Anolis sagrei: one gene and its partner. The protein of the gene in region 2 binds, or shares a complex with, the protein of the main gene of each other region. Links are inferred from orthologs where the notes say so. Each region holds a gene or a part of one and is shown on either strand. Other genes may lie near its edges.

What was found. Proteins that work in one complex are often made in the same cells at the same time.
Region 1: MED23 (region 2) and MED4 share a complex: the UniProt entries of both Homo sapiens proteins name them as parts of the mediator complex. The link is inferred for Anolis sagrei from reciprocal best matches to the Homo sapiens genes MED23 and MED4.

What each region holds. Positions count from the first base shown.
Region 1 is NC_090021.1:150,137,420-150,145,100, reverse strand, and holds the start of MED4 (mediator of RNA polymerase II transcription subunit 4), read right to left. Parts: upstream 3,191-7,681; 5' UTR 3,140-3,190; coding exon 3,054-3,139; intron 1,265-3,053; coding exon 1,198-1,264; intron 1-1,197. Other genes in the region: SUCLA2 (succinate--CoA ligase [ADP-forming] subunit beta, mitochondrial), read left to right, coding at 3,293-3,448. UniProt on the Homo sapiens protein: Component of the Mediator complex, a coactivator involved in the regulated transcription of nearly all RNA polymerase II-dependent genes.
Region 2 is NC_090021.1:82,352,965-82,360,338, reverse strand, and holds the start of MED23 (mediator of RNA polymerase II transcription subunit 23), read right to left. Parts: upstream 3,063-7,374; 5' UTR 2,978-3,062; coding exon 2,927-2,977; intron 428-2,926; exon of another isoform or gene 274-427; intron 1-273. UniProt on the Homo sapiens protein: Required for transcriptional activation subsequent to the assembly of the pre-initiation complex. Component of the Mediator complex, a coactivator involved in the regulated transcription of nearly all RNA polymerase II-dependent genes.

The sequences.
Region 1 (7,681 bases), about 68 Mb from region 2:
AAGAAATGTATTATAACTTCACCAAGTACATTTTAATCAAATCCATTAAAAATCAAATCCGCAAAAGTCAACCCCACAAATGTGGAGGCTGAGTGTATTGAATACTGAACTGTTTTGTTTGTTAACCATCATCAAATACAGTATTTTGACACTTCCTAATTACAGTAATGTCTAGCACCTAAAATAAGAGTTTAAGACTTCTTGTCCCTCAAAGTAGCAAATGTGAAGTTATATCAAGTAACTTGTCCTCAAGCAGTTTACGATTGTTATATAAAAATAAATCCTTAATGGTAAATCATTATTATTCTCATTGCTGCTAAATGTTATTTGCACCTTACTCATTAGCTCTATCTTCTAATGTTATGACTCCAGTTTGCCCACGCACAATGAGACATTGAACTTTGCTATTGGTTGTTAGTTTGATGTTGTTTTATATACTGTTTAATGTTGTTTCATTTTGTTATATTATTTATTGTTATCATTTTGTTGATCTGCATTTTAATGTGTTACATTTTAAGTGTTCTGTTGGGCTTGGCCCCATGTAAGCTGCCCCGAGTCTCTTTGGGGAGATGGAGGCGGGGTATAAAAATAAAATAGTAGTAGTAGTAGTGTTGTTGTTGTTGTTGTTATTATTGTTGTTATTATTATTATTATTATTATTATTATTATTATTATTATTATTATTATTAGAGATGGAGAAATTTGTTTTCCTGGTCTAACAGACTATTCAACATTTGAAATACCATATTTACTCGAATTTAATGCTCACCTTTTTTTGGCTAAATTACATAGCCAAAGGTGAGGTACGCATAAGATTTGATGGTGCGTTAGAATTGCCTGCACCCTTCCATCAGGCTGAGAACTCAGTTTTGAAGGCCTTGTGAATGAGGCCTTATTTGAGACGCTGCCAAACGTCCGTCAGGCTGAGGCTAGTTAGTTCACCAGCCTTGGACAGATGGAGAAGCAAGGCTTCTCCTTGCCTGTCAATTTTTCCAGGGTGGTGAGCTGAACATCCAACAGGCAAGGGGAACCCATGCATTACATTTAACAAGAAAACATTTTTTTTTGCAATGTGCACTTTCAAAATTGAGATGAACATTACAATTGATAACAAATTATGCTTGAGTAAGTATGGTAAGAAGTGAAAAGGTCAACCACTTTAATACTCTTTATATTATTTCGAAACTCTTTGATTACCTGGCTGTCCTCTCCGGTTTGTGTAAGTTTCTGGTTTCTTGAAATTGCCAGCATTTCAATCAGCTCCCTGAAGCACATTTAGCATAAAGAAAGAAGCAAGAAAGAGTTTATCCTCTTTTAGAACAGAAACACATTTTCCTGCCTCTATTGTTAAACTTCAAAAAAAATCATAAACTTAATAGCTCTCCATATTTCACAAGAACATCTTTATACTGATAACCAAATCAATTTCTGCCTTCCAGTACTTTACAGATGAAAAAAAAGGTTAGTCAGCTGTATGCAGATGGAACCTATCAATTTCTTATGTAGTGATTGACTTCCTCATAAGAAGATAATGAACAACTCAAAACCCATGGAATTTCTCTGCCTCCTGCTTCCAGTTAGGAAGTCTATTTGTTAATGTTTGCAATTTTGCATTTTATGACCTTATTGGTTTAATGTATATGCATGTGTATTCTGATTAAGTGAGGTGCAACAAAAATAATTACACAAGAACTAAGTGCTCATCTGAATTCTGTTTCCCAAAAAATTGGCCCTTTAGGTCATGTTCTGGCTACATGTGTTTGGCCCCAATTCCTATAAAAGTTTCCCCCCCCCCCCCCTGGTTTGCTGCATCGCTTCCATTTATTCTCCGGTGACTGGAACCATATTTGAAAAACCAGAACATATTTCATTGAGTTGCTGTGAGTTTTTTTTGGGCTGTATGACCATGTTTCAGTAGCATTCTTTCCTGATGTTTCGTTTGCAACTATGGCAGGCACCCTCAGATGTTTGTTCAGAGGTGTGTTGGAATGAGGCAAGTGGGGTGTAAATATATCTGTGGAAGGACAAGAGTGGGGGAAAGAACCTTTGCCTATTTGAAGCCTTGATTAGCATTGAGTAGCAGCTGCAAAGTCTGGCTGTTGTACTTCGACAAGATTTGTTTGTACATACATTGAATGTTTTATGACCATAACATATGTATGAAAAACATTCTTATGAGTAGGTTCTTGTGGGTTTTTTTCAGGCTATAGAGCCATGTTCTAGAGGCATTTCTCCTGACGTTTCGCCTGCATCTATGGCAAGCATCCTCAAAGGTAGTGAGGTCTGACATTCTTATGGTTTATATTATCCGGTTGTCAGAGTGGACCAGCATTTCTGTGTCCTCAATTAATATTCTGTTTGAGTATACATTGTCGAAGGCTTTCATGGCTGGAATCACTGGGTTGTTGTAGGCTTTTTCGGGCTATATAGCCATGTTCTAGAGGCATTATCTCCTGACGTTTTGCCTGCATCTATGACAAGCATCCTCAGAGGTTGTCTATTTTGTCCCAGTCCTGGGAATTCATCTTCTGGCTGATGTTTATATGGCTTGGAACAGTTTCTCCCAGTAGAGATGTTCAATGTATTGTCGAAGGCTTTCATGGCTGGAATCACTGGGTTGTTGTAGGTTTTTTTCGGGCTATATGGCCATGTTCTAGAGGCATTCTCTCCTGACGTTTCGCCTGCATCTATGGCAAGCATCCTCAGAGGTTGTGAGGTCTGTTGGAACTAGGAAAAAGGGTTTATCTCCATTTTCCTGTAAGTGAGGTTGTCTATTTTGTCCCAGTCCTGGGAATTCATCTTCTGGCTCATGTTGATATGGCTTGGAACAGTTTCTCCCCGTAGAGATGTTCAATGTATTGTCGAAGGCTTTCATGGCCGGAATCACTGGGTTGTTGTAGGTTTTTTTCGGGCTATATGGCCATGTTCTAGAGGCATTCTCTCCTGACGTTTCGCCTGCATCAACATCAGCCAGAAGATGACCAAGGCCCTCGGCCCTGAGAAGCGAAGAAGGCGTCCCTGCAGACATTGCCCCTGCGACAAGGGGAACTTACCTGGCAAGGAGCTCCAGGTCGTCCAGCGCTGCCAAGAGCCGCTCCCGAGTGCTACTCCGGTCTCCAACCCCTGCCGCCGCCGCCATTGCCTCTCTCCGCGTCTCTGACAACAGGGAGGGAGGGTGAACGCGCCGGAAGCGAGAGAAACAGGCACACAAACCGGAAGTGGCAGCGCCCCTCGTGGCGCCAGGGTGATTGAGGGCGCGCGCCCTGGCCCGTGCTGTGGCTCGCGCTGGCGCATGCGTAGCGCGAGCGGGGCAAGCTCGCCTGAGCCGAGGGGCCGGGGAGGAAGGAGGCTCGTCATGGCCGCCTCCATGATGTGTTCTCGGGTGGTGACAGCGGCCGCCAGGCAGCTGAGGGGATACCAGGGAGGGCGCGCCAGCCTCGCTGCCAAGGTGAGGGGAGCGGGGAAGAGGAGGGCGGTGGAGACAGACCCTGGCCTGGCCTTGCTTTCCTTCCCCAGCGTCCTTTAGATGCCCTCCCCCTCCTTCCGGCGCCGGCACCCGGAACTCACCTCTTTCTGCAGAGGGAGGGCTCACACTCTGCACTGCCGAGTTAACACAGTTTGGCACCACTGTTGGGGAACCCTGGGAGGGCCCTTCCACACAGCCATATAACCCAGACTATCAAGGCAGGTCTTCCACAATATCTGCTTTGATCTGCGTTATCTGAGTCCACAATGCCACATAACCCAGTTCAATGGGGATTTTATCCAGCTATGTGCAAGGGGCTCCAGTTGCCGTTTGACAGAAGAGACTCAAGGCCTTAGAAACATAGAATCAAAGAGTTGGAAGAGACCTCATGGGCCATCCAGTCCAACCCCCTGGACAGGAATATTGCATTCAAAGCACCCCTGACAGATGGCTATCCAGCCTCTGTTTAAAAGCTTCCAAAGAAGGAGCCCCCACCACACTCCGGGACAGAGAGTTCCACTGCTGAACGGCTCTCACAGTCAGGAAGTTCTTCCTCATGGAAGGAATATATATCATTTGGAAGAGTGAATTTATAACTCAAGCCTTGAGAAAACTCTAGAGCAGTGGTTCTCAACCTGGGGTCCCCAGATGTTTTTGGCCTTCAGCTGCCAGAAATCCTAACAGCTGGTAAACTGGCTGGGATTTCTGGGAGTTGTAGGCCAAAAACATCTGGGGACCCCAGGTTGAGAACCACTGCTCTAGAGGGAAATTACTGAGTAGCATTTAGACCAGGGGTCCTCAAACTAAGGCCCAGGGGCCAGATACGGCCCTCCAAGGTCATTTACCCAGCCCTCGCTCAGGGTCAACCTAACTCTGAAATGACTTGGAAGCACACAACAACAACAACAACAACAATCCTATCTCCTCTGCCAAAAGCAGGCCCACACTTTCCATTGAAATACTAATAAGTTTATATTTGTTAAAATTGTTCTTCATTTTAATTATTGTATTGTTTTTAAGTGTTTTTGCACTACAAATAAGATATGTGCAGTATGCATAGGAATTCATGTTTTTTAAAAAATTATAATCTGGCCCTCCAACAGTTTGAGGGACAGTGACCTGGCCCTCTGTTTAAAAAGTTTGAGGACCCCTGATTTAGACTTATACCCTGTGCATTTTCTTTGTTATATTTATGTGCAGTTTAAACCAATTTGCACAGTTAATGTTAACATAGCTCTGTGTTGATAACAGTTTACAACTTGCGTTTTGTTGTTGGTCATAGATATCTGTGATATTATTGCCACTTCTTTTGCATCCTCAAACAACGGCCCTCCAGGTGTTTTAGGCTTCCAATGCCCTGAAGCCCTAGGAGCTTGTTCAGTGGTCAGGAATCCCGGGATTTGGAGGCCCAGACAGCCGGAGGACTGCAGGCTGAGGGTGCCTGTCATAAAATCTACTTCTTCCTTTTTATTTTCCTTCATTGCAGTGACCTCCTTGAGCCATGAAGGCTATATTTTGCTTTCTGAGGCCCCTTGACCCTGCTGAATAAAATCCTACGTTTTCTGCTTTGAGTTGGAATTATATGGCAGTGTGGACTCAGATAACCCAGTTCAAAACAGATATTACAGGTTTTTCTGCCTTGATATTCTGGGTTATATGGCTGAGTGGAAGGGCCCTGATTCTTTTGATTTTTTTTATCATGCCCTTCTTTAGATTTTACTAAGGGCCCTTCCATGCAGCCATTATGTGTTTTTCCATTCTGCCATATAGTTCTTCCTAATGTTTCGGTGGAATCCTTTTCCTACAATTTGAATCCATTGCACCACTGTTTTTTAGTCTCCATGCAGTAGGAAACAAGCCTTTCCCCTCCTCAGTTTGATATCCTTTCAAATATTTAAACATGGCTATCAAGACCCCTCTCAACCTTCTCTTCTCCTTGCTAAACATAAGCTACTCACTAAGCTGTTTTTCATACGATTTGGCTTCCAACCCTTTCATCAGGCCCCTTCTACACTCCCATATAAATTCCAGATTTATCTGCTTTGAACTGGATTTTATGGCAGTGTAGACTCATATAATCCAGTTCAGAGCAAATAATCTGGATTGTCTGCTTTGATAATTTAGATTATATGACAGTGTAGAAGGGGATTCATTCTGCTTGCTCTTCTCTGGACACCTTCCAGCTTGTCAACATCCTCCTTGACTTAGTGTTCCAGGTCAGGTCTGACCAAAGCAGAATAGAGTGGGACCATGACTTCCCTCAATCTTGATACTACATTCATGTTGGTGCAGACTGGAATCACATTGGGTTTTTTAGCTGCTTCATCACACTGTTAACATTTTCAGCTTGTTGTCCACTAAGACTCCAAGATCTCTTTCACATGGACTGTTGTTAAGCCAGACGTTGCCCATCCTGTATCTGTGCATTTCATTTATTTCTGCCTGACTGTACCATCCTATATTTGTCCTTGTTGAAATTCCTTTTGTTAAGGTCATTTTGGATTCTGATCCTGTCTCTGAGCTATTAAATATCCCTCCTAATGTAGTGTCATCTGCAAATTCGATAGGCATGCCTTCTCTTCTGTTACCAAAGTCATTGATAAAGGTATTACTTGAGAACTTTATATACAGATTGTATGGAAGTAGCTATTTATGTAGCTTGGGGGGGGGGGGGGTCTGAACGGTGAAAATGTATGTGTGGTAGATGACTGGCACACAGTAAAACTATTGTTCCAAATAGGAGAGCTTTGTTCGGCAAAAGTTAACTATTAGTGTGATTCCCCTGTCATATGATAGAATTAAAATGGTGAAGGTCTTTTTTTATCATAGTGTGATTTTTAATTTTTGTGCTAGTGGTTCAAAGGAAGCAGACAAAGCTGTATTTTGATGTAAGATCAGGAGAGAGTATGAAGGATAGTGAATTAGGCAGAAGGTCACGAAGTAGTAATACTCTCAACTGTGTATTGTGGATCTGATCCCTCTTTCTTCTAGTGTTTTTCCACTTCACATTGTTTTTTCCCCAGTTTGAGTTTTTTTGTTTTTTTAAAAGTGAGTTTGTTTCATGGAATGTTAAAAGCCGGTTTGTGTTTCTAAAGACAAATCCAATCACGTTCAGAAGGGATTAGTGCAGAAACTAATTGTGGGCGAAGGAGTAGCCAGTAGACATTAATAATATGTGTATTCATTGGCTTGCACCAGGAAGAACTGGGTTCAGATTTTATTTCAGTCATGACACCCATACATTGTCAGACAGTCAGTCTTGACTTAATCTACATTAGAAGGCTAATGTGAAGATTAAAATAGTTATAACATAATGCAAGTCACTTTGGGGTTTAAAGGGAAAGGTCTATAAAGGTAAAGGTACCCATTTTCCCTGACATTAAGTATAGCTATACCCGACTCTGTGGTGCTCACCTCAATTTCTAAGCCAAAAAGCCACCGTTGTCCGTAGACGCCTCCAAGGTCATGTGGTTGGCATGACTGCATGGAGCGCCTACTAAGGCGGTACCTATTGATCTACTCATGTTTGCATGTTTTTGAACTGCTAACTTGCCAGAATCTGGGCCTAACAGTGGGAACTCACCCCGCACCCCAGATTCAAACTATTAACTTTTCAGCAAGTTCAGCAGCTCAGTGGTTTAACTCGCTGCACCATCAGTATATATATGTAATATATGGTTCATTACTTAATCTACTGGTGCCATACAATTGTGACAAGATTTGCTACTGATTCAATTGTTAATTTCTCCATTATCCTTAAAACCCTCCTGTTTAGATACATCCTACTTTTGTACGCGCCCAGTGTTTATTTTAAATTTTAAATTTATTACAACTGGCCTGTCCATAAGGTTTTGAATTTTTGTGTGTTATTGCTTATATGTGAGTTATATTAATTTTACTGTTCTATTCGCTTGCTGCCTTGTTGTTTTATTGATGTGTTGTTGGGCTTGGCCTCATGTAAGCCGCCCCAAGTCCCCATTGGGGAGATGGTGGCGGTGTATAAATGAAGTATTATTATTGTTATTATATTATGCAGTCTTGCAGTATCCTCTTGTTGTATTATTTGCTAGATTGAGGTAGGAAATGTGCAGCCTGGCTTGAGATCTGGATAATGGAGAAAGGCAGGGAGTTTAAGAAAAACATCTGTTTCTGCTTCATTGACTACTCTAAAGCCTTTGACTGTGTGGATCATAATAAATTGTGGCAAGTTCTTGG
Region 2 (7,374 bases):
TCTTTGGCAGAGAAGGCAAAAGACCTTGTAAAACTACAACTCTCATGTTTCCATAGCTTTCAGCCATAGCAGTTAAACTGATGTCAAACTGTATTCATTCTACCATGTAGATAAACCCTTAGTGGTTGATAGCTGAAGTTTGTAGCTTTCCAATCTGATCTATTCAGAAGTGTATTCACTAGTAAATTCAGTCTGCTGTCATGGAGAAGTGAATGTAAGTGTGAATTAGATGGTCAAAAAGAAGTTTCTCTTCAGATCGTATAAATCTTTTACCTTTTACTTCAAAAGATCCTTCCACAAAGAATCTGGAGCCTCAATTTGAAGTTGGCTTTGCATTCCATGTTGCTTGGGAAAGTTAAATCAGTATTTGCTCTTTTGACATAATACCTTTTGGTTCCTTGTTTGTTACGGATTTCTCTAGTCACTTCTGTGGACAGGAGAGCCCAGCAAGGGCAATCAGGAAGTACATAAACGCAAAGGTGGTCTTAGCCATACACCTTGTCTCTCTCACACAGAAGATCATCACATCAACAAAAGAAATAAGACAACAAAGGGGCTGCTTATGACATTACATTTTAAATCTCCTGTCTTAAAAATACAAAGTGGCTGGATGAGTCTAGCATTTTGGATTCCAGCTCTGTGCAAAATGTTGACATGGGTGGAGTAAATTCATCACTGACTGTAAACACAAAGTCATATTATAATTCTGAATGATCTGGAGTTAAATAAAATATATATGACGAAATACAGGTTTTTCCTGTATTTTCAGGTGATTTTATAGTTGTCCGGAATTAAATGTTGACTCATAATTTGGAACAAGTTTCTAAATTGCACTGTTCTGCATTGTACTTTTTTCCCTTTTCCAAGATGCTTTCTTGTTTCCCTGAAGAGATTCTTCCCTTCTCTTTATATTTAAAGTGTCATGATGTATTGTTATTGCCGTTATTGCTTGCTTAACTTATTGATTTGCTATGTTTTCTACTGTTGTGTTGTTTTACTGTATTGTGTTTTGAGGCTTCGGCCTGCGTAAGCCGCATCGAGTCCTCCGGGAGATGCTAGCGGGGTATAAATAAAGTTAATAATAATAATAATTAATAATAATTACAAGCACAAGTTCAAGAACAGTTGAGTTCAATGAAACGTATTCCATAGTAAAAGAGCTAGTAATAAATAGCAGGTCAGATATGATCCCTAGCTTCTACAAACTCCTTTTCTACAAACTCCTTTTCTTCCAAAGCATTTTTTTGTGATCTCACATCCAATATATTTGCTTCCTCACATCTAGAATCATAGAATCAAAGAGTTGGAAGAGACCTCATAGGCCATCCAGTCCATCCCCCTGCCAAGAAGCAGTAATACTGCATTTAAATCACCCCTAACAGATGGCCATCCAGCCTCTGTTTAAAAGCTTCCAAAGAAGGAGCCTCCACCACACTCTGGGGCAGAGAGTTCCACTGCTGAATGGCTCTCACAGCCAGGAAGTTCTTCCTAATGTTCAGGTGAACATTAGGAAGAACTTCCTGACTGTGAGAGCCGTTCAGCAGTGGAATCTCCTTTCTTGTAATTTGAAGCCATTGTTCCATGTCCTAGTCTCCAGGGAAGCAGAAAACAAACTTGCTCCCTGCTTCGTATGAGACGAACACAAAACCAAACTTTGAAGCATCTTAAACCACTTTATTGAAGCACAGGGTTTCACAGAATTGAATCCAAATTATCTAATATATGAAGTTTTGCATTCTGTTAACAGGAATATGTGTGTGTGTGTACACACACGAAAAGATTCTTAGGGCACTTTCAGACAGTCCATATTACAAGAGGGATCCCCTCACTTCTGCAGGAGTCTACCGTATACCATGCTGCTGTGGACAAGTCTACATACGGACCACCAAACGCAGCAATGCCCAAACACGAGTCAAGGAACATGAAAGGCACTGCAGACTACTTCAACCAGAGAAGTCAGCCATAGCAACCTGGACACAGCATATTATTCGAGAACACAGAAATGCTGGACCACTCTCACAACCACCATGTCAGACTACACAGAGAAGCCATTGTAATCCACAAGCATGTGGCCAATTTCAACAGAAATGAGGAAAACATGAAAATGAACAAAATCTGACTACCAGTATTAAAAAAATTCTAAAATTACAACACCAAAACAACAGAGGGAAAACAATCAGGGACATCTATTCATCTCTCAACAAAAGATTGCCCCAGGCACTGCTAGGCCATCAAATGCTAATCAATTTGGTCAGTTGAAACATTCACACCTAGCACCAACAGACAAGAGTCCTTTGTCCCACCTGGTCATTCCAGATATATAAACCCATTTTCCTAGTTCCAACAAACCTCCCTACCTCTGAGGATGCTTGCCATAGATGCAGGCGAAACGTCAGGAGAGAATGCCTCTAGAACATGGCCATATAGCCCGAAAAAACCTACAACAACACAGTCCATATTATCTCAGGATCTGATCCTAGGTTTTCTGCTTTAAACTGGATTACGTGAGTCCACATTGCCAGATAACCTGGGATGTAGGGCCTGTCTGGAAGAGCCCTCAGGCATTGCAAGGGTGGCCTCCCCCAGGGCCAGGAGGATGAGGAACAACAGGTTAGGGGCGAGAGAGGCCTGTGGCCCATAGGCAGCCCTTGTGGCAAGCCACACGTGAACTGCCTAAGCATCCTGGGCTTATCCAGAAATCGGAAAGACTCCAAAAATCTGACACTCTCTCTCTCCGCATGGGTGGCTGAGAGAGTGACACCTTGGCTGTCTAATCGAATGGGTTTCTTTCAGATGCCACTGGACGACACCGCCCATCTCTTTGGGGCGAAGGGGAGCTGCAGACCAAACCCCACCAGGAAGGCATCAAATCGTCCTCCCTCCCTCGCACTCCTCCCTCCCCGGAGCAGGAGAAGGCGGCGCTCACCACCACTTCCTCGAAGATGCTCTGCAGCTGGGTCTCCATCGGGACCGCCATGCTGAGCGGAAAACGACCCCCGCCTCTCGCTGGCAGGAGCCTCACCGCAGCCACCGGCCCCCACCCCGGAAGGGATCCCCTTCCACATCCGGGTCTCCTTAGAGAGAGGAGGCGGTGTCTCCTCGGCGCTTTGCAAAGCGAAGCCCTTCTAGGAAGCAGAACGGAGGGAGTTCGGTAGCGACCCCTGCAGGAGGAACGAGTTAGTGCAAGCCTATGGGTTACATTGAATCAATGAATTAATGAATGAATGGGGCTTGGCCATAGCTCAAGGCAATGGGAGCAGGCTCATAATAAATTGTGGCAAGTTCTTGGTGGTATGGGGATACCAAGACACCTTGTCCGCCTCCTGAGAAATCTGTATAATAATAATAATAATAATAATACTTTATTTGTACCCCGCTACCATCTCCCCAAGGGACTCGGTGCAGCTTACATGAGACCGAGCCCACAATACAACAATAAAAACAATAGCAACAGTAATACAAAACAATAATAAACTCATAAGCAGAAAATAAGCAATAAACATTAACAATAACACAATGACATTTAAAAACCTATGGCTGGGCCAAATGTAATAATTAAAAATTTAAAAATAATGCTGGGCATGACCAGGTGACATATAACTAGGATAGAAATTTTGGAGAGGGATGAAACATGCAGACAATCCTAGATCACTAATAAAGTGCGTTTAGGGACATATTGCTGGGAGTTTCCTTATTCTGGGAAGGCACACTGAAACAACCACGTTTTCAGGCTCCTCCTAAAGACTGCCAGAGTTGGGGCATGCCTGATGTCCTTGGAGAGTGAGTTCCAGAGTCAAGGGGCCACCACTGAGAAGGCCCTCTCCCTCGTCCCCACCAATCGCGCTTGTGATGGAGGTGGGAGCACGAGCAGGGCCTCTCCAGATGATTGAAGAGATCGTGTGGGTTTGTACACAGAGATGCGGTCACGCAGGTAGGCGGGTCCCAAACTGTTTAGGGCTTTGTAGGTAAGCACCTACACCTTGAATTGGGACCAGAAAATGAACGGCAGCCAATGGAGCTCCTTAAACAGAAGAGTTGACCACTCCCTGTAAGGAGCACCAGTTAACAACCTGGCCGCCGCTTGTTGGACCAATTGAAATTTCCGGGCCATTTTCAAGGGTAGCCCCACGTAGAGTGCATTGTAGTAGTCCAATCTGGAGGTGACTAAGACATGGACCACCCTGGCCAGATCCGCCTTCACGAGGTATGGTCACAGTTGGGGCACGTATAACTTATTGTCGAAGGGTTTCATGGCTAGAATTACTGGGTTGTTGCAGGTTTTTCGGGCTATATAGACACTAGCTGTGCCCTGCCACGCGTTGCTGTGGCCTATAGTAAAACTTATCAAAGTTGAGGTAGATATCTGGACTATTATGAAAGAGAGGTACCTACCTATTCCTTCCCCCTTTTCCTCCCCCTTTCCTTTCTTCCTTCTCTACCTCTTTCTTTCTTTCACTACTTGGTTTCATCCTTCTCTCTGTCCTTCATTCCCTCCCCCTCCTTCCTTTGCCTTTCTTCCCTCCCTGTTTGCTTCCTTCTTTCACTTTTTATTTCCTTTTATTTTACCACCATCATAACAATAACAATAATGCAATGCATTGCCTCTGGGACTTGACACCTCTCCCATTCCTCCAGGGTCTCATAGGAACAATAGCATAATAATAATAATAATAATAATAATAATAATAATAATAATAGAAATAACAACCTTTACCCGCCACGTGTTGCTGTGGCCAATCTTCCCTCTTTCTCTCCTTCTTTCCCTCCTTCCTTCCTTCCTTCCCTCCCATCTTTCCTTCTCCTCTTCTTTCTCTATCTCTTTCCTTCCTTCCCCCTTTTTCTTTCTTTTCTGCTGTCTCTCTTTTCTTTCCTTCCATCTTTCCTTTTCTTTCCTTTTCTTCTTCCTTCTTTCTCTAACTTTCCTTCCTTCCCCCTTTTTCTTTACCTCCCTTTCTCTTTCTTCCTTCTTTCCTTCCTTCCTGTCTTTCCTAGATTTTGACAGGGCGGGAAGGGGCGGGGTGGGGTTTGGAGGTGGTGTGAAGTAAAAGGAGGTAAGATTGGGGTGGGGGAGTGATGGAGCGTGGGGTTGTGTGTGTGTGTGCAGCGGCGGGGGGAGTGATGGAGCATGGGGTTGCGTGTGTGTGTGTGGCGGTGGGGGGGAGTGATGGAGCGTGGGGTTGTGTGTGTGTGCGGCGGCGGGGGGAGTGGGGTTGTGTGTGTGTGTGTGGCGGCGGGGGTAGTGATGGAGCGTGGGGTTGCGTGTGTGTGTGCGGCGGCGGGGGGAGTGGGGTTGTGTGTGTGTGTGTGCGGCAGCGGGGGAAGTGATGGAGTGTGGGGTTGCGTGTGTGTGTGTGGCGGTGGGGGGAGTGGGGTTGCGTGTGTGCGTGTGCGGCGGCGGGGGGAGTGATGGAGTGTGGGGTTGTGTGTGTATGTGCGGCAGGGGTGTGTGTGTGTGCGGGAAGCGGCGCAGCGGGGCTTGGAGTGGGCATGGTTTCCACAGAGGGAACGTTGGCCGGAAGGGCATGTGCGCGCGCCAGGGAACTTGCGGCTGGGCGCCAATGCGCATGCTCAGTTGTTTTGCCGTTTTGTGAGTGTGTTGTTGTGTTGTTTTTCATTTAGAGTAGATACGTTTATACCTTGTGGGTTGTGTTATGGGCATGGGAATTTTGGTTAAGTTTCGTTGGGGTTTTTTTGAGTTTTTTTTTTGCCGTTTTGAGTGTGTTGTTGTGTTGTTTTTCATTTTGAGTAATATGTTTGGGTTGTGTTATGAGCATGGGCATTTTGGTTAAGTTTCATTGGTTTTTTTAGAGTTTTATCCATTCCTCGTTGGATGCCCCTAACAAATTTATATATATAGATGTTCTAGAACAGGGGTCGTCAAACTTTTTAAACAGAGGGCCAGGTCACAATTCCTCATACTGTTGAAGAGCCGGATTATAATTTGGAAAAAAAAATGAATGAATTCCTATGCACACTGCACATATCTTATTTGTAGTACAAAAAACACTTAAAACAATACAACAATTAAAACGAAGAACATTTTTAACAAATATAAACTTAGTATTTCAATGGGAAGTGTGGACCTGCTTTTGGCTGATGAGATAGGATTGTTGTTATTGTGTGCTTTCAAGTCGTTTAAGATTTAGGTTGACCCTGAGTGAGGCCGGGGTAAATGACCTTGGAGGGCTGTATCCGGGCCCCGGTCCTTAGTTTGAGACCCCTGTTCTAGAAGCACTCTCTCCTGACGTTTCACCTGCATCTATGGCAAGCATCCTCAGAGGTTGTGAGGTCTTGTGAAATCTACGGCAAGCATCCTCACAACCTCTGAGGATGCTTGCCATAGATGCAGGTGAAACGTCAGGAGAAAATGCTTCTAGAACATGGCCATATAATCTGAAAAACCTATAACAACCCAATCTGTATAACAATCAAGTAGTAATGAGCCCGAGCGCAGCGGGGAGCCCCACCTTCACATTGGTGTGAGCTGCAGCGGAGAGTTCCGCAGTTCCTGGACCAAGCTTTTGGGACCAACAGATGAAATGTGCCCCAGCGGCTAGCTCAAACCCAGGAATGCTTGCAGTATTCATCTTGCTTTCCCCTTCCCTTTACTTTGTATCCTTTCCCTAATAAAAGTACTTGAAACTTGCAACTTTTTATCTTTCCGCATGCTACTTTTGTATCCTTTCTTGACTCAAACAAATAACATTGCAATAGACGTTTTTTTTGGGCTCCGGAGGACCGTGAGCCCGCGGGGGGCGCCTCCGGGCGCTCCCCGGACCCCGAATCTGCGTTCGCCTAGACCACGGATACGGAAACCGCCATTTCAGACCTCCTTATCCACAAAAATACTTAAAATGGCGGATCGCCGCCGTTCCAATTTTATATTTTTCTACAACTAATTCTAAGACTAACTGCCATTTCCCTTTTCTCGTTTTGGGCTCCTTCACCCGGGGAAAAATTAGTTTTGTTTTAAGTATTTTATCTTGCAGAGAAACAGCTGATTGTCAATTTGGCTGGGTTTTCCGCTCCTCCGCAGCAGTGCTCGCTCCCAATTCAATCCAGCAGCTTGGGACCCACGGCGGTCGCCCGTAGGAGCCCCGGAGAGGGGGCCAGGCATGGGTCCCGGGCTCCGACCAGGGAGATACAGTTTCCCAAAGGACATTGCCCCACCAATCACAGTTTGGAAATCCTCTTCGGACTCTTTTGCCCTCACTTATTGACTTTCTGCCTTATTGTCTTGGACTGTTTCCCTGCCATGCTTTTGGACACAAACCTTAGACCGGGCTTGCCTGGAGGGACAAGCAGCCTCAGCCTACGTGCGCCTTCACCAAGAAGACTATGATTCCTACAAAAATAAAATACATTTATTATTAT